4 linked regions of the Arabidopsis thaliana genome follow. The protein of the gene in region 4 interacts with the protein of the main gene of each other region in a pairwise test. Each region holds a gene or a part of one and is shown on either strand. Other genes may lie near its edges. The genes, in order: CIB1, CRF3, AT3G24490 and PAP2.

Evidence for each region.
Region 1: the proteins of PAP2 (region 4) and CIB1 interact in a two-hybrid assay, tested with the Arabidopsis thaliana proteins (one large-scale study listed by BioGRID).
Region 2: the proteins of PAP2 (region 4) and CRF3 interact in a two-hybrid assay, tested with the Arabidopsis thaliana proteins (one large-scale study listed by BioGRID).
Region 3: the proteins of PAP2 (region 4) and AT3G24490 interact in a two-hybrid assay, tested with the Arabidopsis thaliana proteins (one large-scale study listed by BioGRID).

The regions. Positions count from the first base shown.
Region 1 is NC_003075.7:16,494,928-16,502,977, forward strand, and holds CIB1 (cryptochrome-interacting basic-helix-loop-helix 1), read left to right. Parts: upstream 1-3,463; 5' UTR 3,464-3,538; coding exon 3,539-3,841; intron 3,842-3,944; coding exon 3,945-4,205; intron 4,206-4,292; coding exon 4,293-4,427; intron 4,428-4,520; coding exon 4,521-4,592; intron 4,593-4,686; coding exon 4,687-4,857; intron 4,858-4,953; coding exon 4,954-5,019; 3' UTR 5,020-5,247; downstream 5,248-8,050. Other genes in the region: KCS18 (3-ketoacyl-CoA synthase 18), read left to right, coding at 1-798; AT4G34540 (NmrA-like negative transcriptional regulator family protein), read left to right, coding at 5,579-5,755, 5,892-6,026, 6,205-6,442, 6,547-6,750, 6,839-7,005. UniProt on the Arabidopsis thaliana protein: Transcription factor that binds DNA to G box 5'-CACGTG-3' and, to a lower extent, to E-box 5'-CANNTG-3' in vitro. Binds to chromatin DNA of the FT gene and promotes its expression, and thus triggers flowering in response to blue light.
Region 2 is NC_003076.8:21,614,504-21,622,190, reverse strand, and holds CRF3 (cytokinin response factor 3), read left to right. Parts: upstream 1-2,909; 5' UTR 2,910-3,165; coding exon 3,166-4,230; 3' UTR 4,231-4,477; downstream 4,478-7,687.
Region 3 is NC_003074.8:8,904,736-8,912,723, forward strand, and holds AT3G24490 (Alcohol dehydrogenase transcription factor Myb/SANT-like family protein), read left to right. Parts: upstream 1-5,686; 5' UTR 5,687-6,286; coding exon 6,287-7,288; 3' UTR 7,289-7,488; downstream 7,489-7,988. Other genes in the region: MSH7 (MUTS homolog 7), read right to left, coding at 7,683-7,988.
Region 4 is NC_003075.7:14,320,140-14,328,438, reverse strand, and holds PAP2 (phytochrome-associated protein 2), read left to right. Parts: upstream 1-3,077; 5' UTR 3,078-3,225; coding exon 3,226-3,647; intron 3,648-3,751; coding exon 3,752-4,005; intron 4,006-4,085; coding exon 4,086-4,227; intron 4,228-4,371; coding exon 4,372-4,433; intron 4,434-4,736; coding exon 4,737-4,774; 3' UTR 4,775-5,143; downstream 5,144-8,299. Other genes in the region: AT4G29070 (Phospholipase A2 family protein), read right to left, coding at 5,404-5,531, 5,679-6,330; emb2726 (elongation factor Ts family protein), read right to left, coding at 7,124-7,408, 7,483-7,807, 7,903-8,299. UniProt on the Arabidopsis thaliana protein: Aux/IAA proteins are short-lived transcriptional factors that function as repressors of early auxin response genes at low auxin concentrations.

The sequences.
Region 1 (8,050 bases), 2.2 Mb from region 4:
AACACTTATGCTCTTGTGGTGAGCACTGAGAACATCACACAAGGCATTTATGCTGGAGAAAATAGATCAATGATGGTTAGCAATTGCTTGTTTCGTGTTGGTGGGGCCGCGATTTTGCTCTCTAACAAGTCGGGAGACCGGAGACGGTCCAAGTACAAGCTAGTTCACACGGTCCGAACGCATACTGGAGCTGATGACAAGTCTTTTCGATGTGTGCAACAAGAAGACGATGAGAGCGGCAAAATCGGAGTTTGTCTGTCAAAGGACATAACCAATGTTGCGGGGACAACACTTACGAAAAATATAGCAACATTGGGTCCGTTGATTCTTCCTTTAAGCGAAAAGTTTCTTTTTTTCGCTACCTTCGTCGCCAAGAAACTTCTAAAGGATAAAATCAAGCATTACTATGTTCCGGATTTCAAGCTTGCTGTTGACCATTTCTGTATTCATGCCGGAGGCAGAGCCGTGATCGATGAGCTAGAGAAGAACTTAGGACTATCGCCGATCGATGTGGAGGCATCTAGATCAACGTTACATAGATTTGGGAATACTTCATCTAGCTCAATTTGGTATGAATTAGCATACATAGAGGCAAAGGGAAGAATGAAGAAAGGGAATAAAGCTTGGCAGATTGCTTTAGGATCAGGGTTTAAGTGTAATAGTGCGGTTTGGGTGGCTCTACGCAATGTCAAGGCATCGGCAAATAGTCCTTGGCAACATTGCATCGATAGATATCCGGTTAAAATTGATTCTGATTTGTCAAAGTCAAAGACTCATGTCCAAAACGGTCGGTCCTAATTTGATGTATCTGAGTGCCAACGTTTACTTTGTCTTTCCTTTCTTTTATTGGTTATGATTAGATGTTTACTATGTTCTCTCTTTTTCGTTATAAATAAAGAAGTTCAATTCTTCTATAGTTTCAAACGCGATTTTAAGCGTTTCTATTTAGGTTTACATGATTTCTTTTACAAAATCATCTTTAAAATACAGTATATTTTTAGTTTTCATAAAATATTTAAAGAAATGAAAGTTTATAAACATTCACTCCTATTCTCTAATTAAGGATTTGTAAAACAAAAATTTTGTAAGCATATCGATTTATGCGTTTTGTCTTAATTAGCTCACTAAATAATAAATAATAGCTTATGTTGTGGGACTGTTTAATTACCTAACTTAGAACTAAAATCAACTCTTTGTGATTGTTTGTTCATCCAGCTGACCAGCTCTGTCTGCCGTCTAGGTTATGTGAAGAAAGTTATATTCCTGGTTGTTTAGATTTAAATATAAAAATGGATACTTTAGTTTATGTATGATTTTGAATTGTTTAGATTTGAAAGTAGGGAAGCCCATAAAATTCAATTGATAGTTGAATAATTAAAAATGATAAGTGTCAGAGAGTTGGAGCAGTCCCCGATGAGCCTACATCAGCCAAAAAAAGACACTCATATTTTCATTCTTTTTTTTGGCTAAAACTCACCTTATATATCTGTTTATTTCAAAAGATGCGTTTTTCTTACTTTTTACAACATGAAATCTTTTATTTTAAGGAAATTATAGTAACTAACCGTAGAATACAAAAGAATGAAAAAACTAACTATGGAGCAACGGGTCAGAGACAATTTTTATACATTTTTCATTTATATAACAATAACTCATTTATCATTAAATCATTTTTATAACAATAACTAGTAACCATAAAAAATATAAATACTTCTTGGATGTTAAGAAAAAAAAACAATTCTTCTTTTGACGAAAAAGACTTCTTAGGAAAGTTGTATACCTTTAAAATACATGCAAGTTATATGAAAGTTTATAAAATTCACAACTCTTCTTTATTTTAAAACCCAAAAAAAAAAAAAAAAAAAAAGTCCTCTTATTTATACGTCTAATTCCCATGCATATATCGAGAATAACCCATCATATAGGAATTAGGCTCCCATCATGTGATCATGATTCATGAGTCATGACCATTGGATCTCCCCTCATTATTGTTCCATCAGAAATTTCTACGTCGATGATATGTTTCTAATTCTAATTTTTTTTACAGCAATTTCTAATTCTAATTAAGAACTCTCCCATATACAAATTGATATAGATATCTTTTAGTAAGTTAGTAACAACACTTAATTAAACATAGATAAATATACGTGCACAGATCAATTCTCCAGTTTAAGGAAAGAAATTGGATAGATGTATTTAAATACTTTTGTATAAATAATATAACTATCTCCAATACAACACACCGAATCAAATGTCAACATCTACATACATGTCGACATGAATTTATGAACATATATGTACAAGGTGATGGGGAACCCACAAATTAGGTGTGTGGCTTTACTTTTTTTAGTGTATGCATGTATAGTATGATAGGGAGGGAAATAGCTGATCATCATCTTCTATGGACTTAGTCCAAATTCATCACATCAAAAGGCAACGACCATGTCTTTGTTTCTAACAACTTTACACCCTCCCCTTTCCTTATCTACTAACTCCATGTATCTGCTTTAAAGGTTAATATATAACTGGACTAAGCAAAATAAAAGAGAGTTGGGTTTTCATTATAGAATCGAGAAGATTTCATGTCCCTATATCAATCACATAAAGCGTTTTCCAATAACATAAAAAGTCGGATAAATGAAAATATTTGAGAATCTAAAACAATGTCATATATACTTTAATGGAAGGTCCTTTTCTTCGAAATATTTGCTCACCGAAATCGGTGAAAGTGATCTAAGACTAAAACTAACTTGTGAGTAATTCATGTGATGGGCCTTCTGCATCGAAAAAGAGCATGGCGATCACGTGGCAGCCTCTCTTGCGCCGTCTCAGTATTAGCCTATCACGATAGAGTAAGCCAATGTATACAGCATGGCGATCAGACACATGATGATGATCGATCTGAATAACAAGATTCCGAAGGATGTAATAAATTCATGTGAACAGTGCTTCGTAGCTAAACTAAGACCAGAGCTATTGAAATGAGGTAAAGTGTTTTCTTTGTAACCCCATTTTAATTAGGTGAAATATCTAGCGCACACACCAATCTGATTCATATAATCATAACTAGCTTGTAAACTACAAAATTATTTTTCATTGTGTTACAACTAGACCATTCCCACGTGACCATTCACGTGCTCCTATAATGAAAGAAACCTAAAGAAGAGACGCTCCAATTCGCATAGACATCCCAAGCTTATCCTTTCTTAGTGAATCAAGATCCAATTTACACTATAATACATGCATATATTACGTAATAAATGTTTTATAAGTTTTCTGTGTCACTCACTATTTTTAGTTATTTTCTCAATTTTCAATCATCGCAAATATCAATTATCACAAAACATATAAAGTTTCCAGATTTGTATATGGGCCTACCTTATTAGATGCGATGAATATGGACTAAGTACAGAGCTGATGGTTTTTGTTATAAATATCGTTTCCTCTTCTACCCTCACCTTTACTCTGTTTCTTTCTCCACTCTCTCTCTCTCTCGTTGCAAGCAACTTGTTTTCTGAATCCAAAGAAGACGATAACGATGAATGGAGCTATAGGAGGTGACCTTTTGCTCAATTTTCCTGACATGTCGGTCCTAGAGCGCCAAAGGGCTCACCTCAAGTACCTCAATCCCACCTTTGATTCTCCTCTCGCCGGCTTCTTTGCCGATTCTTCAATGATTACCGGCGGCGAGATGGACAGCTATCTTTCGACTGCCGGTTTGAATCTTCCGATGATGTACGGTGAGACGACGGTGGAAGGTGATTCAAGACTCTCAATTTCGCCGGAAACGACGCTTGGGACTGGAAATTTCAAGAAACGGAAGTTTGATACAGAGACTAAGGTTCGTGTGTAAAGAAAACTTAAGTTTAAGTTCTATAAATGAAAAAGAAAACAGATCTTACTTTGAGATTTGGCTTATCTGTTTCTTCTGTGTGTGCTTTTAGGATTGTAATGAGAAGAAGAAGAAGATGACGATGAACAGAGATGACCTAGTAGAAGAAGGAGAAGAAGAGAAGTCGAAAATAACAGAGCAAAACAATGGGAGCACAAAAAGCATCAAGAAGATGAAACACAAAGCCAAGAAAGAAGAGAACAATTTCTCTAATGATTCATCTAAAGTGACGAAGGAATTGGAGAAAACGGATTATATTCATGTTCGTGCACGACGAGGCCAAGCCACTGATAGTCACAGCATAGCAGAACGAGTAAGAGAGCCTCATTAACTAAAATTCATTAACTTTGTTTTTTGTGTAATCATTGAGACTAATTATTAAAGTATTAAATTTGTGAAGGTTAGAAGAGAAAAGATCAGTGAGAGAATGAAGTTTCTACAAGATTTGGTTCCTGGATGCGACAAGATCACAGGCAAAGCAGGGATGCTTGATGAAATCATTAACTATGTTCAGTCTCTTCAGAGACAAATCGAGGTCTGAAAATTATTTCCATTTATAGAAAATATGTTTTAAAGACTAATTTTGCATTACCTTCCTAATTTGTTATCAAAATATTGTTTAAAACAGTTCTTATCGATGAAACTAGCAATTGTGAATCCAAGGCCGGATTTTGATATGGATGACATTTTTGCCAAAGAGGTTAGTCATTGATTTGTTTATGCTTATATGAAAAACAAAACTTTAAAGGCTATTTATAGATGAGCTAAAATACGCCATGTGGATTCAAAACCAGGTTGCCTCAACTCCAATGACTGTGGTGCCATCTCCTGAAATGGTTCTTTCCGGTTATTCTCATGAGATGGTTCACTCTGGTTATTCTAGTGAGATGGTTAACTCCGGTTACCTTCATGTCAATCCAATGCAGCAAGTGAATACCAGTTCTGATCCATTGTCATGCTTCAACGTAAGTCATATTTTTAATACTCTTTCATTATGATCTATCCTTTAGTTTAACTTTGGATATGATAATTTTTTACTAAATATGTTTTGATTGTTACAGAATGGCGAAGCTCCTTCGATGTGGGACTCTCATGTGCAGAATCTCTATGGCAATTTAGGAGTTTGATTAAGAAACCAATCCACAACATAACAATGTTCCCTAATTCAAATTATTCATCGGAAGAGAGAGCAAACCAGTAGCTGTTATTTACTAATTCCACTAGATTATTGACTTGAGATCCCCCGCCCATTAGTTGATGTATCAAAGAGTGTAGACATTATTGTGTATAATTTGCAAACCAGTCCAGTAATATATTTCTTATCGGTGGACTTGTGTCTTTAATTCAAGGTGTGTTCTCATCTTCTTGTGGTGAATGATCATCCATTAGTATTTTTTTTTTTAGTATACAATGCCACAAGTCATGCGACCATGAAATCAAGAAACAAGACACCAGTCGTTTAACGTTATGTTTTACATCTTATCACTAACAATCTTCTAATCTATGTTTTGGTTACTTTGAAAAAGCGGGACTAATCCCAAATTTAAAGCAATTGAATAAACAACACCTGTTAAGCGTGGCGGACAAAACGACGACAATGTAAGAGAACTGAGTCAGAGATTAAAACCTATGACCAACCCATTGGAACTAAACTATCCTAATTCTCTATACGGAGAGTATATATAAATGGAGGAGGAGAAGAAGAAGAGCAGAGTTTTGATCATCGGAGCAACAGGAAGATTAGGGAACTATTTGACCCGTTTCAGCATCGAATCGGGTCACCCGACTTTCGCTCTCATCAGAAACACCACTCTCTCCGATAAGCTGAAATCTCTCTCCGACGCCGGCGTTACCCTCCTCAAAGTCTCTCTCTTTGCAATATCTCTGTAATTTCCTCATTAGGGTTCTTCTGTAGATTCTTATTGGGGGACTTCTCTTTGAAAAAGTCTTGGCTTTTTTTGCTTGTTTTCATTTGGATTTGGTTTTTGATGGGTTCTAGGGTTCATTGGAGGATGAAGGAAGCTTAGCAGAAGCAGTGAGTAAAGTAGATGTGGTGATCTCTGCAATTCCATCAAAACATGTTCTTGATCAGAAACTCCTCGTCAGAGTTATCAAACAAGCTGGTTCCATCAAGGTCTCTTCTTATATCTTAATCATGGATTTTTTTTTGTTACACCAATTCGATCATGTCTTAAGTATAGATCACATTGTAGTATTGTTTAATATTGTTCTTGAATTTACTTTTGGCTGATGATGAGATTGAGAGGATAGATATCTAACTAGAGCAGAACATGGATTAATTACTGTTGCAGAGGTTTATTCCTGCTGAATATGGAGCAAATCCTGATAAAACTCAAGTCTCGGATCTTGATCATGACTTCTATTCGAAGAAATCAGAGATTAGGCATATGATAGAATCAGAGGGGATTCCATATACATACATTTGCTGCGGACTGTTCATGAGAGTTCTACTTCCATCGCTTGTGCAACCGGGGCTTCAATCTCCTCCAACAGATAAAGTCACAGTTTTTGGAGATGGAAACGTTAAAGGTTTGTCCTTATTGCTCAATTCTATAGCTACAAGTTTTTGCAAATATACAATCTTGTGGTCTGAAATTTGAGTGTTTCTTTTTTCTGTGTTGTTTTGTGTATAGCTGTTTTCGTGAATGATGTCGATGTTGCAGCATTTACTATCAAGACGATAGATGATCCTCGAACACTGAATAAGACCTTGTACCTTAGCCCGCCCGGAAACATATGTTCCATGAATGATCTTGTCGAGCTCTGGGAGGGCAAGATTGAGAAGAAGCTTGAGAAAACGTTTGCTACAGAGAATCAACTTCTCAAGAAGATCAAAGGTTCATCATCATAACATCATCAGCACATCTACTAACATATTTGCAAAACTGTTTTTTTAAACTTGAGCTTTGTGTTTCTATGATGCAGAAACTCCATATCCGGATAACATGGAGATGGTATTCATATACTCTGTCTTTATCAAAGGAGATCACACATACTTCGACATCGAGTCTTGTGGTGGAGTGAATGGTACTGAGCTTTACCCTGATGTCAAATACATGACCGTGAGCGAGTTTCTTGATACTCTTCTCTAGAATTATAAACCAAACAGCAAAGGGATCACTCTCATTTTTCAGAGTTTACCTTTTACACTTCCAAAATTTCTCTGTTTTTGAGGGCTGAATCAATCTATCTCATGTAGCACTATCTTTACCCTATTGATCTGAGTTTCGACCTTAATCGTGTAACACATTACTTCTGCAGTTCTGATGATGGTAAACCTCAACTGTTTACATGGTAACAAGATCATAGGTATTAGGTTCATGCCTTGATGTCTTGAAATATAGTAATTCACCACAAGAAAATCACACACTAAAGATCACAACAAGAATAAAATTGTTTTTAAGGATTTAAGAATTTGATTTACGAGAGGTTATTGAGAATAAACTTCCAATAGAGTTGGAGTCAAATCCAACTAGTTGGAACTTAATTAGAAGCAAGCTTAATCATTTACTTGAACAACAGAAGAACAAAAGTAGATGAAAGATATTTCCGATATTTTACTTAAGGTAGCAAATAGACACAGCGCGAAAGGAAGCAACTATGGCACACAACGGAACACGTCAAATGCGTATTTAAAAGAAATAGTTATATAAAAAGAATGTGATTCTGAGAGCGTAACCAAAATACGAGGTTAAGACTTCAGAGAATCGAGTGATCCTGGTTCTGTATATTCCGACAAGACTAACCTTTATTCCTCTGCCTCTTCTTTATTCTTTTTTTTTATTTTTCAAAAACAAATCACCAGTTTAAGTCTCTGTTTTCGTTTTCTTCAACCTTCAAACGCAAGATATTTTTGCTTGCAGAAAAAAACCGAACCTCGTCTTCGAATTTCGTTTTGTTCCTCCACTTAATCGGCCACTGACACTGTAATATTTCTCTCTAATCTCCCTTCAGTTTCAAGCATTTTCTTAATCTTTCTATGCACTGAGTTTTTGTGATTACTCTTTGTTGTTTGCCTGGATTCTTATCCGTACAAAAATGCTCTGTAACCAAAACAAAAAAAATGCAAGTGAAATTGACAGGGGTTATGTGTAATTCTATGAACCAAGATTCGAACTTGTGTAGAATTTGATGCAG
Region 2 (7,687 bases), on a different chromosome or scaffold from region 4:
TGTTATTGACTTAAACATGTCCAAAAAAAAATTATGTGAACTAGGCAAAAATATACTTCAGAATATTTAACGAGTACAGATGTTATATATTTCTTCCGTATTATTATAAATGATGTTTTTTTTTTTTTTTTTTTTTGCTCTGTTCTGAATGATGTACTGTATTAGCTAAATTTCTAATGTGTTTACTAATTAGTCTTATATAGTCATTTAAAATGTATATGATATACCACATGTATATAACAAGTACATTTTGGAAGATAAGATGGACATTTTAGAAATTTTGATTGCCACATCGATCATATTCCTTCAAAATGTTTGATACCATATGGAATTCCCTCCTTTAAAGACTTGAAAACTATCTCACTTCTTTTTCCTAATAATCACTGTTATATATGCACCATTTATCAATTAGTCCCAAGTAAAGATGTTTGAGATCTTGCACAATGTTGGTATAGAGTTTACTAGAAGTTTAGAATCATGAAAAGTTTCTTAATCGATACTAAACACATCATCAAACATATTTTTACTGTCTCTAATTCATAGACGTTTTTCATCGAAATTGAATCGTAAGATTGATGATGACACAGTGGCAACACCATTATTAGATTAATAGTTTTTGTGGTAGACTATTCATTCAATAATTCATTAGTTGATATAAATTTTCTTAATGGTTCCAATTTGTGATAAATTAGCAAAATGTTCTGAATTCTACTTTGTCACTAAAATTCGTATCAGAAAAACCGGTTTGACCGTCCGTTGTTCAGGAACTTAGGATTGACTTCTAGTAGTCTCTGTTTGCTTTCGGCTAGTTTCGAGCTTGGTGGACTTTCATCTTCAAATCTATCACTTTCTCTAATTCTTAGGTCTTAATCATAGAATAACTGAATTTTCCCCAAATAAAGGAGCAAGAAAAATGCAATTTCAATGCATGTAGAGTTTTCTTTTCATCAAAAATAAAATAAGGGAGTTTAAATCCGTACCATCTATATCACATAAAACTCATAGCGACTTTTAACAACTCAAGATATATTTTTTCTTAAAAAAAAGCAAGCAAGTTAGTAATTAATAGAATAAATTTGGTAAAGCCTACTCAACTTTCGAAACCATAATATGAAAATCTTTAAATTTATTTTTGGATTTTAAACGGCTTTCAACAAATTGATCAAGATGAGTTCAAAGACAGTTTATCAAAACAGATTAGCTGCAAGAGATAGTCTTTTGCAGAATGCTTCATAAAGTTTGTAACGGATTAGCAGCAAGAGATAGTCTTTTGCAGATTGCTTCATAAAGTTTGTAACAGGTTGGTATGAAGATGTTATTATGTTCTAAATCATGCATCTATGTTAATTTAGACCAGTTTTGTTTTTGGCTTAACTGTCTTTAACTCTTTAATATATGTACATGCATAGAGTTTGTGTTTTGTGTTTAAGTTATATGTATGTAAACTAGCTTTTAATTTGACACATTTTCTCTATCAAATGTACATGGTTTATGTTTATTGAGCAACAAAAAGTCTTTTACATCTTCAAGTTATTTAAATGTTCCTATTTAATATATCAGAAATGTAACATCACATATTTCCGAGAAAAAAACGATTCTAAATTACACTATTTATGAACTAGAGAGAGTAAAATTTAAAATTAAAATGGCTACTTAATTAAAATACAATCATAATTTTTTTTATTTAAAAAGCAAGTATATCATATCTTGGTTTACAATAACATAATTTCAAATCTCATTGCCATCCAAACAGAAAAATAATTTTTTTACTAGTCCAAAAAATTAGGAACAGATGTAGTAAGCTTTGATATCCCTAAACCCAAGTAAAAACCCCAACAAAAAGATATTAGTAGAAGATTGTTTTTACAACAAATCAAAAATATAGTTTTCAAAAAAAAAAAAAAAAAAAGATACTTGAGAAGCGCGTGGAAAGTACGAATAGCAAGCAGTGGTGGAAGAGCGAGTGAGGGAACAAAGAGTACAGAAAAAAGCCTAGAGACGTACCACACCACCGAATTATAAATGGCGGCAAATCCTAGGTTGCTCGCCACGTTACTTCTAGCTGTAAAATGGTAACATTTCAATTTAACTACCATATTTATATTGATTCAAAGATATTTTCGTCCTAAAATCATTTTAATATCTAAAATTAAATACATAACTTCCTCAGTCACATATTCATCTTCCCTAAATTAACATTATTCGATTATCTAACATGGAAAAATGTATATTGTATAATACAACGTATTCAACTTTGACAAAATCGCATTTATTTTATTTCCCTAACAGTTAAAAAATCGCATTTATTTTATTACCCTCAACATTCGTACGTGACAAGTTGAAAAATTGCATTCAAATAGACGAAGTTACCCTCAACAATCATCATTAATTACTTAATGTCGGTCAAAGCTAGTGGAGTGATAAAAAATTTGTTGAGAAGTAGTAAGTAAATTTGTTTTTATTATTAGTATCAAATAAACTAAAAAGGTAAAAAAAAATTTAAAAAAACCGGGACCGGGTATCTTGGGGGTCACGTGACATGAATCGCGAAATTCGAGACTAGAAGCCACGCGCTGACTCAGCACATACAGGAAGGAGCCAAATATCTAATATCGCCACGTGTCACCATGCGACTTGCGCTCATGAATGCGGCGTCCCGTATTTTTAAACAACTCTCTTATACCCGAAACTACCCTTGGAGTTTTGTAGTTAATTACGGAAAAATGCCACTGATGGAGGAGCGGAAAGAAACAGCTTCGACAAGGAAAGAAATCAAATGATATTAAATATTATATATTATATAGTTTTCGAATTTATTGTTTACTTTTGTAAAAATGAATAAAATAATTATGGCTAAAACCCCGAAGAGATCCTATAAATTAGCATTTCAAGAGTGAGCTAGAGAAGGTCTCCACTTGCGAATCGCTAAAAAAAATCACTGTTTCATAACACGTTTTTCTCTCTCACCCACCAAAAAAAAATCTTTTGTTCTTGTTACCAAAAAATCTCGTGATAAATCTCTTCAAACTTTGTTTTATTTTCTTCTTGATTCTCTCGAAATCTCTCTCAACAAACCCAGAAACTTTCCTTGATTCGCAAGCTTTTCTTCCTTTTATATTCTTCATTTTGATGCGAATATAGAGAGAGTCCATAAAAGAAACAGTAATGGACGAATATATTGATTTCCGACCATTGAAGTACACAGAGCACAAGACTTCAATGACTAAATACACCAAAAAGTCATCGGAAAAACTTTCCGGTGGTAAGTCATTGAAAAAGGTTAGTATTTGTTATACTGATCCTGACGCAACAGATTCATCAAGTGACGAAGACGAAGAAGATTTCTTGTTTCCTCGCCGGAGAGTCAAAAGATTCGTTAACGAGATCACTGTTGAGCCTAGCTGTAACAACGTCGTCACCGGAGTTTCGATGAAAGATAGAAAGAGACTCTCTTCTTCCTCCGATGAAACTCAATCTCCGGCGTCGAGTCGTCAACGTCCTAATAACAAAGTTTCAGTCTCCGGTCAGATAAAGAAGTTCCGTGGTGTTAGACAACGGCCATGGGGGAAATGGGCGGCGGAGATTAGAGATCCGGAGCAACGTCGGAGGATTTGGCTCGGGACTTTTGAGACGGCGGAGGAAGCTGCCGTGGTTTATGATAACGCCGCTATAAGACTCCGTGGACCGGACGCTTTAACTAATTTCTCCATACCGCCTCAAGAAGAGGAAGAAGAAGAAGAACCGGAACCGGTTATTGAGGAGAAACCGGTTATTATGACGACGCCAACACCAACAACATCGAGTTCTGAATCAACTGAAGAAGATTTACAACATCTCTCATCTCCTACTTCGGTTCTCAATCACCGGTCAGAAGAGATTCAACAAGTACAACAACCGTTTAAATCAGCTAAACCCGAACCGGGGGTTTCAAATGCACCATGGTGGCATACCGGGTTTAATACCGGTTTAGGTGAATCAGACGATTCATTTCCTTTGGATACTCCGTTTCTTGACAACTATTTCAATGAATCACCACCAGAGATGTCAATATTTGACCAACCAATGGATCAAATTTTCTGTGAAAATGATGATATCTTCAATGATATGTTGTTCTTGGGTGGTGAAACTATGAACATTGAAGATGAGTTAACAAGTTCTAGTATCAAAGATATGGGTTCAACGTTTAGTGATTTTGATGATTCATTGATATCAGATCTATTAGTTGCTTAATATGATGATGAGAGTGAAGAAGAAACCATCAAGCAAATATCTATGGTGTGACTGAAAAATTTTGGTGTTACTTTTTTTTCTTTCATAAGTTCATGAGCTTTTTTGTTTCTTTTTTAATAATTTATTTAGTTTTGTCAGGAGCTTGTAAAACAGTTTTGGAGAAATAGTGGAAAAATAGTTTAATTATTCTGTATTCTTTATTTATTTAAGTAATTGCGTTATTAGTTGCACGAACGTGTTTAATTTTCAAAGCATTTGGCATTTATTTATTTTTTGTTAATTAATTATTTAATTTTAGAAAAGCCAAAGTGGCATTCTCTTTGTAAAGTCATACTATGAGGCGCAAATTACGGTCGTGGCCAGTGAACTGAGAGGTTTTGGCCTTTGGGTTTGGTCTGGTTGAGAAGAGGTGTTTTGTCTTGTAATAGTCATGTTAATCTTAAATTTTGTCAGTAATATAAACTTCAAAATAAAATGTAAATTAATTAATTGTACAGAACACAAAATTATATCATTTATTATTCCGAAAATTACTATCAAATCCTAAATTCGAACATTATCAGAAATTCATGTTTATGATGGAAATGTTTTGGAAAGAGTTCCAAACACATCACAAACTTTTTGTAACCATTTTCGAATATCATTCAAGAACTCTTTCTAAAGACAAGTGTGTGGCAATGTTCTAGAATTCGAACATGTTGGTGGTAGGTGTTTTTTTTAGATGGATTTTTGGGATCCATATGACATTTTATTCATGATGGTCGTTTTTGTAAGTGAAACTTGAGTGTGTTAGATCTTAATAAACTAAATAAGAACATTCTGACCACTGGGAAGAAAATTAAACTTTGTTTTCAGGTTTTCAAAGGCTAATGCATTTTGTCATTCGTGAGACACACACCTCGTTCGGTGAAAAATATATATAGTTTCGCAAGTTTTTTTGTCTAATTTAATTGTTGATCGTTAGGGATGCGATAAATATATATTGCTTTCGGAAAATTTACTTTGACTAAAATTAGTTTTACCTAACAACTGATGGATAAATTTAAAATGAAAACCTTAACACAAAAGTAAAAGAATAATGAAAAATAAACCTTGGCAGGGAGGAATAATAATGAAACCTTTGCAGATTTGTTTTCGTTTCTTTAAACTTTTGCTAAGCTTTTATTAAAAGCTCTTGTAATTGTTTTTGTATCGAATGTAACTATATAGATTTCATTTGAATCCAAGTCACCGACTCATCGCCTTGTTTTACTAAACGTCTTTCAACTAAGGGAAATATGATCTATAACTTATTTTCTTCTTTAAAAGCTTTCTTTAAAAAAAAATATTCTCTGTTATACAAAGATTGCATGATAGCTTTTGCTATCGTTCGATTGTGATTCTATATCACTGAAATTAATTAAATTAATTAATCTAAAATTCAATATGTTTCCATATTTATGGTAAATTGATTCACAGGGTAGTATCTTACCTAGTTGTAAGTTCGTTGTGAGAAGGTCCTTAAAAGGAAGAAGTGGACGTACATACAAAAAAACACAGATATCAATCATTAAATTGTCCTATTGGTAATTTGAGAGAAAACTATTCTTGGTAAGAGATGTTATTGGTGTGCAGAGTACGGATCAAATACGATTAGGATTTAAGAAATTTATAAAGTAAATATATAAAGATGGTTCGTTCTCCAACTCAAATCAAAATTGTCCAGGTGAGAAAATCTCTCTCAAAATTAAATCTATATTCTTCATCAATCTGCATTTTTCCAACAATATAAATTGTAAACCATTGAAGCATCACGAATAACATCAAATCCGTCTTACATAAACACATTTATTATTTGAGTTTTTTTTTTTTTTTTTTCATTTAAACTTTAAGACTGTAGTCGAAGACTATTTTGTAATCTGTTGGTAGACCAGAATGATGTTAGGCTCATAGACTAGCTATATCTAACAGCATTTCTAAAATTAGTTGCAACCAACATAGCATTATGTCTTACTGTAGAAAAACACAAAGAATATACTGTATCAATTATCAACGTAACTGATATTTGTAACTCTCTTTTGTCTCACGTCCATCTTCCAATCTCTTTTGGTCTGAACTATCTTCGACTAAGATTTTGGACGTCGCTTTTTTCTTCATACGAGTTGTGTTATTGCCTTTTTGCCGGTTGGTATATTTCTTAATACTAATAATTAATAACTAATGGAAAGTATAGAATTCATTTGAAAATTCGGTCAATGTCGGAGAAAAGTAGGTGACAAATGACATAATTCAAACAAATAATTTACGTGGAAATAAGTTAAGCACACACATAGACCTTAAATTCCATATCACATTTAATACGATCGACATTTGTATTTTATTTTTCTCATACAAGATACGTATAGTCCTATATATAATCTAATACTGATAAATGTGGCCTTCGCTTTTGTGACGTGAAAGGACATTGTCCCAAGAGGGTTTCAATAAGGTTACCACTTGGTCTGTTATGGCCGAGACAGAGACATACGTACGCCTCATTTGGTTTCCAATAATAGTTATCATATTGTTCTTTTATTTGATGACATAAACATATAGAAGTATATCTTTGCTGCGTTTATTTTATTCAAAAACATAATTACACTATTTTTTAGTTTTATTTTATATCTCTTTAGGACAAATATATTCGAGTTCACCGCTCCATCCGTAAAGCTTTTATTTCGAATGATCACACCATCATTACTCACATGAAATGTATATTATATAGATTTACATAATCTGCCGTTGATTATAAAATCTATTGTCCCTTTTTTCTGTTCTGTTGGTCGTGTGTTAGATTAGATAGATAACACATTATTAACATGGTGATCGTAAATCTCGATATTAAATAGTTTGTATTTTGGCCATAAAATTAAGTTAGCAAGAAGAATTTATAACTTTTATTAAAATACATTCCATTTTATTCTTAAGTCATCAACTAATTAGTGATTACCATGATACTTGGGTAAGAATTAGTTCAAGTATTCATTTCTTATATATATATATTTTTTTTATATGCATTGTTCATACAAAACTTTCAAAACTCTTGACCGATTTGGTATGTCATATACTTGTTCGGTTCAGTTCTTGGTCCATGGATTTTCCGAAAAATTTGTAAGTTTTTCTACTAATGTGTTGAACATTTTTATGATATATTTTCTTAATATTTCACTTATCATATATATAACTTGGATTAAATATTCTAAAAGGACTGTGAGAAACAAAAAAAAAAAAACTGTGTACTAGGTAAATTTAAAATTAACTACAAGGCTAGTATCCATATATTTACCAAAAGAAAAATGTTTGAAATTATACTAGGTAACAGTCATGATTATTTCCATTAATCTTGAATTAAAACTAACATATCCATAATCGAGTGATTATGGCTGTGCTTCAGTGCTTGTGTTTGTCATTCATAAAATATATAAATCCAACATGCATG
Region 3 (7,988 bases), on a different chromosome or scaffold from region 4:
ATGGTTATTTGTTATTTAGAATACATAAATATATTATAAGGTTGTTGTGGTGTCTAGTCACTTAGATTTAGGTTAATAATAACTATGATATTATTGGTAGCTAGTGGATAATTTGTTTAAATCATTTTCATAAAATTCCCTGCATTTGGCATTACAAAAACCTAAAACATTATAAAAAAAAATTGGCATATCATTGATGGCTACGGTATACCTAAGTGCCGAGAATCCATGCACATTGCTAGATTAATTGTTTGTGCGAACGAAATGTTGTATGTAATATATGTTTAAAAAAATTAATACGATAAGAGAGTCTAGTTAAGAAAAAAAAATTCTTATGAGATGCAAAATGCTATTGTAACGTTTTACTTCGACTGAATTCAGATACATGTTACGAATTTGCGGGACGGATATATTAGCTACTTGTCGATCTTTTGCAAGAATCACATGGTTCATAAATTTGATGCGCCGCTAAAGCTCGATCCTAGACTATGCTATCAAAATAAACATATTCGACTGATTACGGTGATGATTGTTCATGTACTGTTTTGGGAATATATGTGTGATGTCTCTGATTATCTACCAGCTTTTCATTAGGTGGTGAGATGCGCAAGCTCGCAATCTTTCGAAACATATTGATGCCAACGATCTTTAGTAAACATTTTGTGAGTTCAACATCCACGTATAATAACCTGAATGATTAATGCCTATTAGCCTAGTTTTACCCTAATAATAATATCTACTTTCTAATGTATATTACTAAACATTTATCAAATTCTATAGCACTAGCATTATCATTTCACGGGCAGAAACTTTGGCAAGGAGCAGCACTAAACAATTAAGTCAGCAGATTTATGATTTCATAAAAGATATGTAGAAGTATAACACTGTTTTAAAAACCCAAAACACTATTATAAAACCCATACATTTTCGAATCTTTTATTCATTCTACAAACCCATACACTATTATAAAGCATGGATACAAATAATTTGATAACCGACTCCATTAAGGTTTATAATAAATTATAAGAATTTCGCGACACCTAACAGCCTAACTACCAGGTTTTATAAAAATCATTAGAAGGAGGACCAAACGAATCGCTTTAGTAATCAAAAGATTAGTTGTCTAATTAAGTTTGCTTTTGGAGCTTTTTCTTAGTTATTGCCGCAATGAAGCACACCGTGTGGGGACGTTTTGACACATCAGGTAATGTTCTCATAGACCAGCGGGATGTTCGAGGCTTTTAGGTCGCCGACATGTGTCGATTTTTGGATAGTCGAATTTAATAGTATATTACTTTAACGAAACAAATATGTAGAAAAATAACCATATGCTTTTTACTTTTGCATAATCACTTCTGTTCAAATTTACTTGGTATCCATGGTACATCATCATGTAAAACATTCGTTATGAAGTTTTTAAATAAAGTTATGTTAATGATTCGTGCCAAAAGGAGCACATTTCGCCAATAGCCAAAAAGAATTGTAAGAACCGAATTACAATAGAGTATTTGAATTTGTATTTTTAAGAAGTCATATGTTTTTTATGTTGAAAAACAATGTGAAGGAATTGAAGTCATCTAGAGTGAGTCGAGACGTATATTAAACATTCAAACTAGTTTAAGAAGTATGTATAACTCGTCCTATACACACAAGTTTTGTATCCTGACACTTTTTCTTGTGGGCCAAAAGGTCCCATAAATAATGCAAACTTCACTAATTCACGAGATCGTGTCTCCATATGAAGGAATTATACAAGTATTCAGATCTTGTTACAGTGTAAAATATTGAAAAAGGTGAAAGTGTTGCACTAAAAATCAGCCGTTGATGATTGATGAAGGAGCTTAGTATGGAGGATCTAGAGTGAACCATGCAAACATATACATATTTTTGATTATTTTATTAGATTTGTACGTATTGTATATAAATTTGGAAATTATGCATAATATGCATAGTATTCTTTTCCGTGGAGAAACATATAGATTTCTCACCTGAGCTTATATGAAAGTAACCACTATTTTTCTCATCACAAATCTCGCAACACTTCTTAATATGCTAGTAAAACTATAATGATCTAACGATTGGTACTGTTTTATTCTTTTTAAATTTTAAACCAACTGCTATTTTTAATACTCAAACATTCACTTTCTTAAAAACCAAGTGCTTCTAATTACTCTTAAAACCTAAATTATACATTTGAATCTAGGTTATCACTTCTCTTGTTAAATCAACAATGCTATGCGGTTAAATTTTGTCATGAATTTTTGATTTAAATAATAGAACGAGGTGATCAACATTTTCATCTGTTACCGGCTTCGTCTATATGAGGAGGCCAAGTGAAAGAAGTTATAATAACTAGGTAGGTCGCATGGTAAGTTTCCCATGAAGTCTTCAACGTCTTTTGTCCACTTGATTGTGCGCTAAATACTGTGTGAACATTCATTCATTATCTTAAGAACCCAAATGCTTTTAATTACTATTTAAACATAATTTGTACATTTGAATATAGGTTATCGAGTTTCTCTTGTTGAGCCAACAATGCAACATCTTTATTTCTGCCATTTTCAATTTAAAGAAAATGAATAAAATAAAATTAAGTATTTTGTTATTATATGCTTAGTCTTGTTAATGTAATTATAAGGAAGATAATGTTCCTTAATAGACTAGATGTGATTCATGAGAACCATGCACAAGAATTCAAAAACCCTAGAAGATTCGATGGTAAATGACGGATCAATTAGCAAAATATTCATGTACATTTACTATAACGCTATTGTATCTCTAGGATTATCGGGTTCTTGTAATGGATGATACACCACAAACCTTTTCTATATTTGTAATGCATTATGATTGACAAAAAAATAGTGTTCCTTGATTTTTTTTCTTTTTTTTGTGTGTGCATCAAGTGTTACTTGTTAATTCATTATTCATTTCATTATGTTTCTCATACACTCTAGCCATCTCTGTTTTTTTCACCAACTAATCATACAATTTTATAAATTTGGCGATTTTTTTAAAAAATAAAGACTCTATAGTCTATTTTTGATAATTGTATGTAACATTATGTACTATGAAAATATCATGCAATTGTGAAGATGACAAGGTTGTCATATCTTCTTATGAGGTAAGAAATTATTTCTTAGAGTATATGATCATTTGCTATTAGTTGTATTTTCTATCCTTCTATAGATATGTGAACTTCATTCTCTAGTTGAGTATGTATCAGAGTTACTTTTACCTTCCAGTACTAATGAATCTGGAAGCTCACACAGAATAAAAGTTCTTGCGTAGAGAAATACAAAATCTTAGTGCTTAGATGAACATTTGACCAGTGAGGTGAAGCAGACCACTATGGTTGAGATCATCTACTAGCAACCAGACCATCCAAAATCTCTTTTCTTCTAACCAAGAGACCAAGTCAGTGTCCCATCAAATTTGTTTTTTAATTTTTATTTTGGTTAAATATCAAATCCTTTATAACCAATTTCTCTTTTCTTCTCCATCCAATAAGTCTTTTCTATTTGGAATCTCATGTAAATCAAAGTGCTTTACAACTTTTTGGCAAACATTTTATCTTTAACACTAGACCAAAAACTTCCTCATTAATTAACTAAACTATATATATTATTGGCAATAGAGCATCCTGCTTTCGTAGGAATCCCCTTACCAAAAAAATCACCGAAGATACTTTTGGACTATATATTTGTCAAATCAATAAATAAAAATAAATAAAAGATTAAGAAATAAATGCTCAAAGCCTCAAAGTAAAGACAAAAGACAAAAAATTGGTGAAAGCAACATAGTTGGCATTGGAGTGAGCGAACGTAACCACTCATAACGCGTTTGAAAGAGATTGTTGTCAAAGACTTGAGAAACTTCGTAACGGTTTTATGATCACTCATTGACTCTCTCTCTCCGTTACACTTATGTTCTCGACGCGACCTTCCAACCATAAAATACTAATTTCATTTTTATTTTCACTTCATCGATATCTTGTGACATGTAATATGATTGGCTTATCAAAAATCTTTCATACGAATTTTCAAGTTTGTTCACATCTCTCTCCCAAGATATCCGTTTAGGAGCCTAGGACCGTTACTTCACTTTATTATTTTCATGTGGAGGAACTGTAATATATATCACAATTTTGTTGTTCTTGTTGATTGTGTAAATAGTAGTACTGGATACTAAAGAACAATGAGTATGTATCTCAAATATTTAGCTCAACCGTTTTATAAAAATACTATATTATTACCTTAAAATTGTTTGTTGCTTTATCAGTATTAGGTAATTATGAGATGTCACTGTTTAATCTATTTAAACGTTTTATGAGTTACATTAATGAAAAAAATCTGAAAAGTTAAAATTATACGAATACATACCTGTCTGACTCTACCTACTGAATTTTGTAAAACAATTTGTTATATTTTATAAGAAAGTTGATGTTGTAGTGTTTACTGTCTCATAAAAAACAATCTCTATTTATTTGATTTGAGACTTGAAATTTTTAAAGCTTGTTTTAAACTATACTGTTTTTCTTATAAAAAAATTGTATTAATTTTTTTTATAAATGAAACTGTTAAAAAAAATTGAAAATTTAGAGATCAAAACTAAACCTTTATAATCATTGAAATATATTGGTACATCTACCCACAAAACAGGTCAATCGTCTAGGTTTAATTATAATTAAGCCTAACATGTTAATGAGATTCAAACGAAATTAAAGTCCACAATGCCAACTCAACTCAAGTATCAAATCTTTTTCTTCTTTTTTTACTTAGCAGGAATACCAAACTCAAGTATCAAATCTTTTAAAATTTATTTTTTACTTATGTCAATGTGGGAATGACCGAGTTACTTAAGAGTTATGATTAATATTAATTCTTGTTTCTAACCAATTCATATATCATTGTCTTGGAAGCTTCTTCATATCAATGACTCAACTCTTAATTTTTTTCGAAAATCTGTTCTTACAAGGTCACACAATTCAATTTTTTTTTTGTATTGTAAATGTTTATCTCGTTATATTTACACTAACGAGATTTAAACACCTAAAATCAAATTGTACGAGACTAGTGTTAGTTATTCAATAGTATGATGCATTGATGCAACAAAATTCGTTGCGATTATTTATGATCCTTATCACTACCATGATCATTTCCATTAAGGTTATACTTACTTCCTTTTTGATGCATAATAATTACTCACCAACATTGAAGCGTGGTCGACATTTTCATTGGCAATAAGCATAACATTCATTTATTTATATTAAAACACAGAAACAAACAATTATTAAATAAAGAGTTCTGGCATTTCTCTATTTTAGTCCACTTAATTTAATACTATCATCTTCAAACAAGATTTCATCATTAATAATTTAAAAAATTATACGTTACATAGTGTATTAAATGAATTATCGTTGGGATACACTTTCACATTTTTCAAAAACGTATGAATCATAATGTGACACATGGAGATTTCCCACAACCGAGGCTCCCATAGTAGATGCTTATGCAATTCATATTCTTGCAGCTTAAACTCTTGCAAGTTCAGTAATAACACCGTGATATGAAAAATAAAACTTAGCCCTTTTTAATTTTTGAACTTATTCAGATTAATTAAAAGCATACGTAGCATATTTAAGAATATAAAGCAGAGAATCAAAATAACATATTGTTTCAATGGCACCCATTTTAGCTAGTCGATCAGTAACTGCATTCGCAGATCTTCGAACCCACCAAAAATCGACAGCTTCAAATCCTTTGAGCCAATATGACGCTAAAGGTCAAAATATTATGACCCTAAATGTCAGAAATTGACCCCATAAGTCATAAGTTAACCGACACCAAAGCTGATATTCGTTAGAGTTTAGACTCTCCTTTTCTTAATGATCGTTAGTTTTAGTTGGGAACTCTTGGGCTATCGGTTAAAATTAAATAATTGTGGTCCTCTTGGCCCATTAGTGCTGTCCAAACTGGCCCAATATGACCCAGTGGATGGTCCCAACAAACGCCGCGACAAAACTCCGTCGCTGGCTGAGGCAATGTTCACCGGTGGTGGTAGCTTTTCTTCTACTCCGACCCGGCTGAAAATGCAAATCCCTAACCCTAGACACGGCCATGGTTTATAAACCTCATCAATTTCTTCTACTTATCTCTTCTCAAAGCTAAACCCTCCAAGATATTCCTCTATTAGGTGCAAAAATCAGGTAAATCTCTATCTGTCCGATTTGAAACCCTAGATCTGCCTTTCTTCTCTCTTCTTTTGCTTTTCTGGGTTTTGCTCAAAGATGGGTGACAGCGAAGATGAAACAGGATACCCAAAAAAGTTTTACTCTTTGAATCGGCAAAACCATCCAATGTATAGTAGACCAATACCTAAGCGTCACGCGTATTACAATGAAGAAGAAGACGAAGATGAAGTCGAAGGAGAAGAGGAAGATCCACAAGGAGGATACATTCGTGGAAATGAGAGGTTTCAGAAGAGACAGAAACCAAACAAAGTAGTTTCTGGGTTTGAATTTGCTGGTCCTAGTGATGCTAAAGTTGCGTATGATTGGAGAGAGCAAGAAGCTTTTGTGTTGCTTGAAGTTTGGGGAGATAGGTTTTTGCAATTGGGTAGAAGGAGTTTGAGGAACGAGGATTGGAATGAAGTAGCTGAGAAAGTGAGTGAGGAGCTAAGGATGGAGAAATCTGAGACGCAATGTAGGAGAATGATTGATGACTTGAAGAGGAAGTATAGAAAAGAGAAGATTAAGGTTGAGAAATCAGGTTTAGGTTCAAGTAAATGGTCGTTTTTCAATAAGTTGGATATGTTGCTTTGTGTTTCGCCCAAGTCGGATTTAGGTTTAGCTTGTGGTGTTGATTCAGGTGAGTTTGTGTTTATGAACACTAAGGTTTATTTAGATAAGTCTAATGGGTTTGATGAGATGATGGATAGTCCTGGTGATTCTGAAGAGGAGGAGGATGAGGATGATGAGGTTGAGTACGAGAGGAAGAAGGTTAATGACGCTGCTTCGTATAAGATGTTGGCGGATTCTGTTGAGAGGTTTGGGAAGGTTTATGAGAAGATGGAGAAGAGTAAGAAAGAGCAAATGAAGGAGTTGGAGAAGATGAGAGCTGATTTTCAGAGAGATTTGGAGTTGCAGAAGAAGCAGATTGTTGATAGAGCTCAGAGTGAGATTGCTAGGTTACGTGAAGAGGAGGAGAATCATCATGGTGGTGGTGATGATGATGAGAGTGAAGATGAAGAAATGGAGAATGATTCTGATGTTAATCTCAGTGATGAGTAAGTTATAAACTATGTAGGTTTGTGTTGTTTGTAGATGCAACAAAATATGTTCTGTTTTTTTTTTTGGTTTTAGGGAATTCAGAACTTAAGTCTTATAAGTTTTGTAATTTGTGTTTGGTCTTTGCAACTTTAGTCGAGGTTATTTGCAGTTTATCTTGAAACTTAAATTAATGCATAAACATATTTCCTTCTTAATATACTGTTTGTGAGTATTTCTCTTGACCAATCTCATGAACATACATATATTATATACCATAGCTAAACCGACAGATACATATATAATCTTGTTATAATCGAGGAAACAATTTTTTGATATATAAGCATTTTTTAAGAGGAATAAACATCAGAGAAGCAAAAGACTTAACGAGCTTCAGATAGTGTTATGTCATAGCCATTTATTTGGGAACACAGTAAGAGGATTTGATCTCATGCCATAAGCAAAACAAAGTGTCGTAGTCATCTTCGCCAATGGGGGCATTGTTGTGGGCGACTCGAGAAATACCCACCAATGACTTGAGCCAGTCTTCATGCAGACTTGAGAACTCAGATCTTAGCTCACTTGACTTGAAGTTTTCCCCAATTGATCTCTTCATGGCTTGAGCAGCACCTGATGCTGTTTCAACCACTTGGTTTGGTATTCCAGCCATGAGTGCCACTTGAAGTCCGTAGCTCTCAGGACAAGCTCCCTCGGTTAAACGGTA
Region 4 (8,299 bases):
ATTTTATTATGGTAAAATAGGTATTTAAATTGTATTGCAAAATCGAATTTGTAAGATTGAAATTTGGTTTAAAGAAATACTAAATTACATACTGAAAAAGTATGAGAGTTACGTTACTATTTAAAATTCAAATATCATTAATAAGATGGAGTGTATAGGGACTGCATAATCCGAGTTACTCATGTGTATAGTAAAACTAATCGCATAGTGAATGGATTAGCAAACTATGCGTTTTAATTACTGCTCGGTTTATATTTATTTGATGTTTGTCCAACAGTTGTAAGTCCGACATTGTCAGAGGATATAAACGGGATGTCGTTTCCACAGAGTGTTTGAATGTAGTTTTTATGTTATAAATAACAAAATAGTTTATTATGATGAAATAGATAGTTAAAATATAAGTAAAATTGAATGTGTATGATTAAAATTTTATGTAATATAAAAATTACTATATTAAATATTAGAAAAAGTGTGTAGATTACTATTTACTATATAAAGTTTAAATATTATTGATAAATATTTAAATAAATTTATATCATACATCCGCCTATTTAGGCGGCCTTATCTAGTATATATATATGAGGGCGTGTGTAGAGATTATACTCAGCCACCAAACGATCCAATATTATATATATGTGTGTGTGTTCTATATGTAGACAGCGCCGAAATTAATAACCGCATAAGAAAAACAAAACCGGCAGTTACCATTATGCGGTTTAATTTGATGACAGGTTAAAAAATTATATCGATCTAATTTGATGACAGGTTAAAAAATTATATCGATCTAATCATTTATAGCCATCGGATTGATTCGATATGGTAGGTTATGAGTTATAATGGAGCATGAGGTTCTTGTATGGATGTTAAATCAAGGAGGGTAAGTGGCTTCTTTGTCTAAAGATTCACACTGTCTCTTTGTTCTTTTTTTTTCTTCTTTTTTCGATTACGACACAAACCGATCTTTCACTAACGCTGTAAGTACGGTCGTCCACTGATTTAACATTTTAGGTTTAGTGTAATTCCATTCGATCCTCAACTAACTACATAGTTTTCAATTATAGTCATAATTATTATGCTTGATGAAAAGCAGAAAAAAATGAAAAAACATTAAGTATAACATCAGTACTAAAAATAAATAAAATTATAGTATGTATTTGTCGCTCACACAAGTCTATAAACAAACATTCAAAACCAACATTTTAAGTTACTTAAGCTGTCTCTCGCTAGTATAATTAAACCCTAGAGTTACTTATGATGTCTCTTGTTAATACAGTAAACCCAACGTGGCCATATATAATAATAACAATAATTAAAACCGCCACATGTGATGCAACATCCATATAGATAAGTAAATACTTTGGGTAACTCCAACTAATCTTTAGATTTTATAGCCTTCATATGATTTCTATAGTGATAGACACATTTTTACTAAAGATTCGTATCCTTAGATAGCTTTGTAAGTAACTAATGGCACGATTAGATGGTGAGTTAAGGTGGAATATAAGTTGAGATGTCCCAAAAACGACAAAAACCTTGCCCAAAAAAAGAGAGAGACAAAGGAAAAGTTAAAGAAAGGCACCTTATGATTAAGACACTCGAACTTACACTAAAACACAAATCTAAAAAGCTTTAGATAAGATCCAAAGATGGATCCACCTTAGAGGCAGGCTTTAACCAAATTACTATGCATATGATATTTTATAATACTGCAACTTACAGGTCTTTTTTGTATGTCTTCTTGCTATGTATATACTTATCGTTGTTACAAATGAATGACTTAATCAATACAGCCAAACAATATATAAATCACTGGTAGAATATAAATGACAATATTTCATATACTTCTTCTCATGTTATATTGTTATAGCATCAGATATATTGGTTTAATAAATATGGGTTAAAATATGAGTTGAAACGTTTAAATGTAGATTGAGTCATCCACTTAAAAAATATACTTGGAGATAGATTAGATGGGCATAAATACTATCAAAGTTAAATCTGATTTGATCATTTAAACTTTTATTAATTTAAGACTATGATCCAAGTATCAAAGTTTTACTAATAGGTCAAATTGTAATGTACTGTAGCATATATGCTCGATTTTGGGAAAACATTGTCTGATAAAAATGAAAAGTGGAGTGTGGAGACCACAATTCTTTTTGGGAACACTGCTCAATATTGCTACTGCGGCTAAGTGGCAAAGAGCTACCCCTACTGTTTCTTTCCTCTTTTCATGCTTCTGGTGGACCCAAAAAATGAGAGCCTATGGGCCCAAAACTTTTTCGAGATTCTCTTCTCTGTTCTCACCCCCAAGCCTAAATATCATCTTCCATCGCAATTATTGGCGACTTACTAATAATCTCCATTCGTTAGCTAAACTACTAGTGAATTTATACAAGTTTGTGAAGTTTAAACTCCAATACGTTTGATTTATTATAGAATATGTTATGCTATCATGCACATGATTAAATGGTTCACCGTTATTAGATTATCATTATCATCACTCAATTTCATGAGTAAAGATTGGTTTCACGAGCTAACTTATGAGTTATATCAAATCGTCTAGTGAATCTAAAACATATAATGTTAAGCCAAACTAAACAGAATTAGTGACTCATTACAACATCTCTATACATATATCAAAAAGGAATTGCATACAAAAGCGTATTTTAGATACTAAATCGTTTTGCATGATAGCATAACATGCACACCTTCATGAGATAGCAAATTGTTTTTTTCAAATACAAAAGTAAAAAGTAAAACAAAACGTGGAATACGAGAGTCGAGACAAGGGCATAATAGGAAAGGTTTCAGGACGCTTTCTGTGACCTGTCGGGGAGTAGATGTCTACACAAAACGTAACGTGTATATACAATACATTCATGTGTACCATTTTCTTAAATCAACATTTTGTGTTTAAACCCGCCAAAAGAGGAAAGTACTTACTTCTAATTACGGTTTATATGAATATAAAATTACGTATACTACTTCCGTCCACTTTTGGAAAATAATACGATTCCAAGAAAAAAGAAGATTAAAGGTAAAAAAATAAAAAAAAATAAAGCTCTCTCACACACCTTTTTATCATTTCTCATTTTCACTCACAATTTGATCTCATCTTTAAATTTTTTTGTTTCCCATTTCTCTCAGAAAGTGTTCTGTTCTTTTTTTCTTTTGTAATCACTAAATGCTTCAAAAGTTTGTCCACAATTATATTTGAAAAAAATGTCTGTATCTGTAGCAGCAGAGCATGATTACATAGGTTTGTCAGAGTTTCCAACCATGGAAGCAACAACAATGTCTGACAAAACCAAAACCAGAGACAATAACAACGGTCTCAATTTCAAGGCTACCGAGTTAAGACTCGGTTTACCCGGTTCTGAGTCGCCGGAGCGAGTCGACTCAAGATTCTTGGCTCTCAACAAGAGTAGCTGTCCCGTGTCAGGTGCCAAAAGGGTGTTCTCCGACGCTATTAACGACTCTAACAAATGGGTCTTCTCTCCTGGATCCACTACTGCTACTGGTGATGTCGGCTCGGGTTCTGGTCCCCGTACCTCCGTCGTTAAAGATGGAAAGTCGACAACTTTCACTAAACCGGCTGTTCCGGTTAAGGAGAAGAAGAGCTCTGCTACAGCTCCAGCTTCAAAGTAAGCTTTTTTTGCTCTGTTTTAGATTTTTCTCAGCTTTTTTGCTCTGTTTTATGATTTCTGTGAAGAGGGATTCTTGATGTTTTTTTTTTTTGATTGAGCAGAGCACAAGTGGTGGGATGGCCACCAATAAGATCATTCAGGAAGAACTCAATGGCTTCTTCTCAATCTCAGAAACCTGGTAATAACTCAGAGACTGAAGAAGCAGAAGCTAAGTCTGGACCAGAACAACCTTGCTTGTATGTCAAAGTGAGTATGGAAGGTGCTCCTTACTTGAGGAAAATCGATCTCAAGACTTACAAAAGCTACCTTGAGCTCTCTTCTGCTCTTGAGAAGATGTTCAGTTGCTTCACCATTGGTAACGTTTTCTAGTCTCTCCTTCTTTGAGATCAATACCAGTGATTGAGTTAACTGTTTTCTTTTGGTTCCTTTTTTCAGGTCAGTTTGGTTCTCATGGAGGGTGTGGCAGAGATGGGTTAAACGAGAGTCGCTTGACTGATCTCTTGCGTGGTTCTGAGTATGTTGTAACCTATGAAGATAAAGACAGTGACTGGATGCTGGTCGGAGATGTCCCTTGGGAGTAAGTCTTTGATTTTTAAAAGATCAATCTCAACAATGTAAATTAACATCAAGTATTAGATCATATCTAATGATCTTAGCACAGTTTTAGCTTAACAGAAGAATATAGATCAGTGAAGCTCTCTTACTGTTTTTTCCTCTGCAGAATGTTTATATGCTCCTGCAAGAAGCTGAGAATCATGAAGAGCTCTGAGGCTATCGGCTTAGGTTAGTATTTCTTTACTAAACCCTAGTTTAATGTTCCACACCCATGTGCTCGATTTTAAGATGTATTAGAAAGGTGGTCCATTTTGAACTAAGACACCCTTCTAATACTTTCATGGTTCTTAAGCTTCTCGCTGGATTCTATAAACATTCTGAAGCTAAAGAAATATATTACTGGAGAAACTAAAACGATGCAATTTAGTCCTTTCCAAGCCTCTTAAACACTAGGAACTTACTGCACACTACTGTACAAATGAAGAATACACAATGATTCATACACAAATCTTGCTTTTTCTTTTTTTGCAGCTCCAAGGGTGATGGAGAAGTGCAGAAGCAGGAACTAGGAAAAGCCCTTTTATGTGATAATATATGATTTGAAAAAATATGTTTTTAAGAAATTGAATAGCCATTTTGTTTTGAAGTATTCTTGTGTGTTTGTGTGCTAGGAGTGATGTTTGATCTTTCTTAAACCAGCCTCTACTAAGCTCTAATAAGGCCTCTTCCTCTTACTTCTTTCTCTAATCAATCTAATGAAACATATGGGTTTGTGTATGTGTGTTTGCCAAGGAAGACTTCATAATTCATATGTATAAAAGTTTTGGTAGTGTGTAAACCGGATGTGGTTTTCATTGTTATATATGTTTTGGATGCAAACTTTACTATAGAAAATAGTTTTTCTAGTTCATGAGTTTCCATGAAATGAAGTTATAATGATCCTTTGATAGAGCTTATATCATTCAAACAAAAGACTTCAAAAACAAGGGTTTATTACTAGACATGTACAACGGGTTTACAAGACGCACAACACTTACTAGCGTTTTCACATCTTCATACTAAACATATATATCTATACTACTAAAGAACCTAATCCTCAGATTCCTTTCTTTATGACTTCTATGTACAAAACGAAAGTGAAGACACCCACAAAGGCTTACCGGGATGACAGAGTACCTCCGATATACTTCCTTATGTCTCAGTTTTTCTGAAAACTCCAGCTTCTCTTGCTGAGGTTGCTCACTATCCAGCCAAAGTCGAGTAGATTTTGCCCGTATTGTATCTTCACAAGGTAACTTCTGTAGGGTATTAGTATGCTCTTGAGACCTGAAAGCATTCGAGATAGATGGTTTCAAGATACATCAGTACATCACCAAATGGAAACGGCCATTATCAAATATTACTACCTGAATAATAAGGTAAATTATGAAATAATCCCACATTGATATAAAAGCATAAGGAGATTGTAGTTACCTGTAATGCACATTGTTTTGTAAAAGTGAGCAACTTGAGCATCTCCCCTAGTAACTACACGCTTGTTTGATTCCAAACACTCAAGAAACGCCATGTCAGCTTTAAGCAACTCTGCCTGGTCATGAGTATCATAACCAATATCATGGCAATAACAGCAATGATCTAACCAATCAATAGGTCTCTGATCCCAAACCATCGAACCTCCATCTTTCCCACTAGACCAGTTAGGTCCACAATAATGTCCATATCTCGGGAAAAGCTGTGACAGAAACGCCCTCGTCCCTGTATGCCACGGAACCTTAGACACATAAGGTCTAAACCGATAAACAGTATTCACACCATTTGATCTTGATGACCTCCGAGAAAGAGCATGCCTTTTTAACCCTCTGTTGATAGTAGTGGGTTTCTGCTTACCATCAGAGGCATTTGCAGACCAAGGAAGAACTGAACTGAAGGAGGACCAAGTCCATATCTTTATATCAAATAAGCCTTTCTCTTTCTCTGGCTGTTTGAGAAGAAAGGTTGTTGCTTTCTCTTGCTCTGGCTGTTCCAATAGAGAAGTTGTTGTTGGTGTCACGGAATCAATCATAGCTACATCTTTCTTTGTGCTGATGCTACCAAACCAAGATATACTTGGCAACCCAAAATTCATCTGTAAACAACAAAACAGTGCATGCAATGACTTCAGCAATCAAGTGTGATCCAGACAAAAAGGGAAGATTTTTATCTTTTCAAATTGGGAAAATTTCGAAATTGCGAAAGATCAATACTCAAAACCCTAGAATTGACTAGTAAAGAAGAGTAAATCGGATCTCGAAAATAACAGAGAAGGATAATTCGAATGAGCTTTTGCATTGAGAGATTGGAATGTTCACGAACCTGAGCTTGAGAGACGCTACGAGAAGAGACAGACACACGTTTTCGTTTTTTTTTTCCTTAGCAAATGACAACCTCGGAATATCGTTCGTTACTTTATGTCTTTATCTATCCCTAAATTTTATTGGGCTCAAAATGGGCCGACCGACCTTTTTTAGCCCACAAATTATAAAAGGAAAAAAACATTATTGTAGTGTATGTAGTAATTCGGTCGGTTTGATTTTTATATTTAGATATAATATCCAAAAGGAAACAAAAAATTATTTTATTTAGTTTCACTTCTTCAGGGAAATTCATTTGAAACTTCTATTTAAAATAAGGTTTAAAATTTCATTATAACCAATCTTTCTCCGAATTTAGTGTATAATGTCACATTGTCACTAAATGCACATTTATATAATGCAAATCTCATATTTTCATGAACAAAAAATTACAGGTTTTGATTAAAAACTAATCAAAATGTGAATACTGAAGATTTTGTCTACAAAACAAAAAGGAAGACTTTTACTTTAAACTCCATGACACAAAACAGAGCTCCCTTATTTGAAAACTTTACTTCGTCTGTCTCATCAGTTATCTTCTCCAAGAGTAAACTTCACAAACCTTCTGACTTTGATGTTTTCCCCAAGAGTAGCCACTGTTTGCTTCACCAGATCCTTCACCAGAACACTGTCGTCTTTGATGTAAGGCTGCTCAAGCAATGCCCATTCTCCAAGCCTCTTTGAGATTCTTCCTTCCACAATCTTCTCCCTTATGTTCTCTGGTTTCGACAAAAGATCCTCTCTTTGCATCTCAATCTCTTTTTCTTTCTGCTTTATCTCCTCTGGAATGTCCTCTATTGAAACATATTGCACCTGCACGTAGACATTTCAGGTCAGAGACCAACAACCAATTTATGCCATTGTTTCAGCTGAGGACATTTTCTTACCTGTGGATTAGCCACTGCTTGCATTGCAAGATCATCAACCAATTCCTTGAATTTTTCGCTTCTTCCGACAAAGTCAGTCTCACAGTTCACTTCTATCAGAACTCCAATCCGAGAATCGTGGATGTACGAACCGATTCTCCCTTCTGATGCAAGCCGGCTTGATTTTTTATCAGCTGATGAGAGACCCTTCTTTCTGAGGAATTCTTGTGCTTTCTCAAGATCTCCTCCTGTCGCCGCCAATGCCTTCTTGCAATCCATCATTCCAGCTCCTGTCTCTTCACGCAGTTGCTTTACAAGAGCAGCTGAAACCACTGTAGTTGGTGGGCTGCAGTGCCGTATTGCAAAAAGTTTGAATCTTTCTATAGCCAACATTATAAGAATTCATGTCAAGAAGAGCAAAGACTATAAAAAATTTCTCACCTTGCAACAGCTTCCTTGGCCTCTTCAGCTTTTGGCTCTTCTTTAGCTTTCGGTTTAGCTGCAGTTTGGGCAGCAACCTCAGCAGCAAAGTCCTGGCTTTTCTTCTCAAGGCCTTCTCCGAGAGTGTACCTCACAAATCTCTTCACTTTGATGTTTTCTCCAATGGTTGCAATCCTCTGCTTTACAAGATCCTTAACTATCACCTTATCGTCTTTAATGTATGGTTGCTCAAGCAATGCAAGTGAATCTAGCCTTTTCTTTATCCGACCGTCCACTATCTTCTCCCTTATTTGTTCCGGTTTCGACAAAAGATCTTCCTTTTGCATCTCTATCTCTTTTTCTTTCTTCACAATTTCTTCTGAAACATCTTCTGTTACAAGATACTCTACTTGAGGAC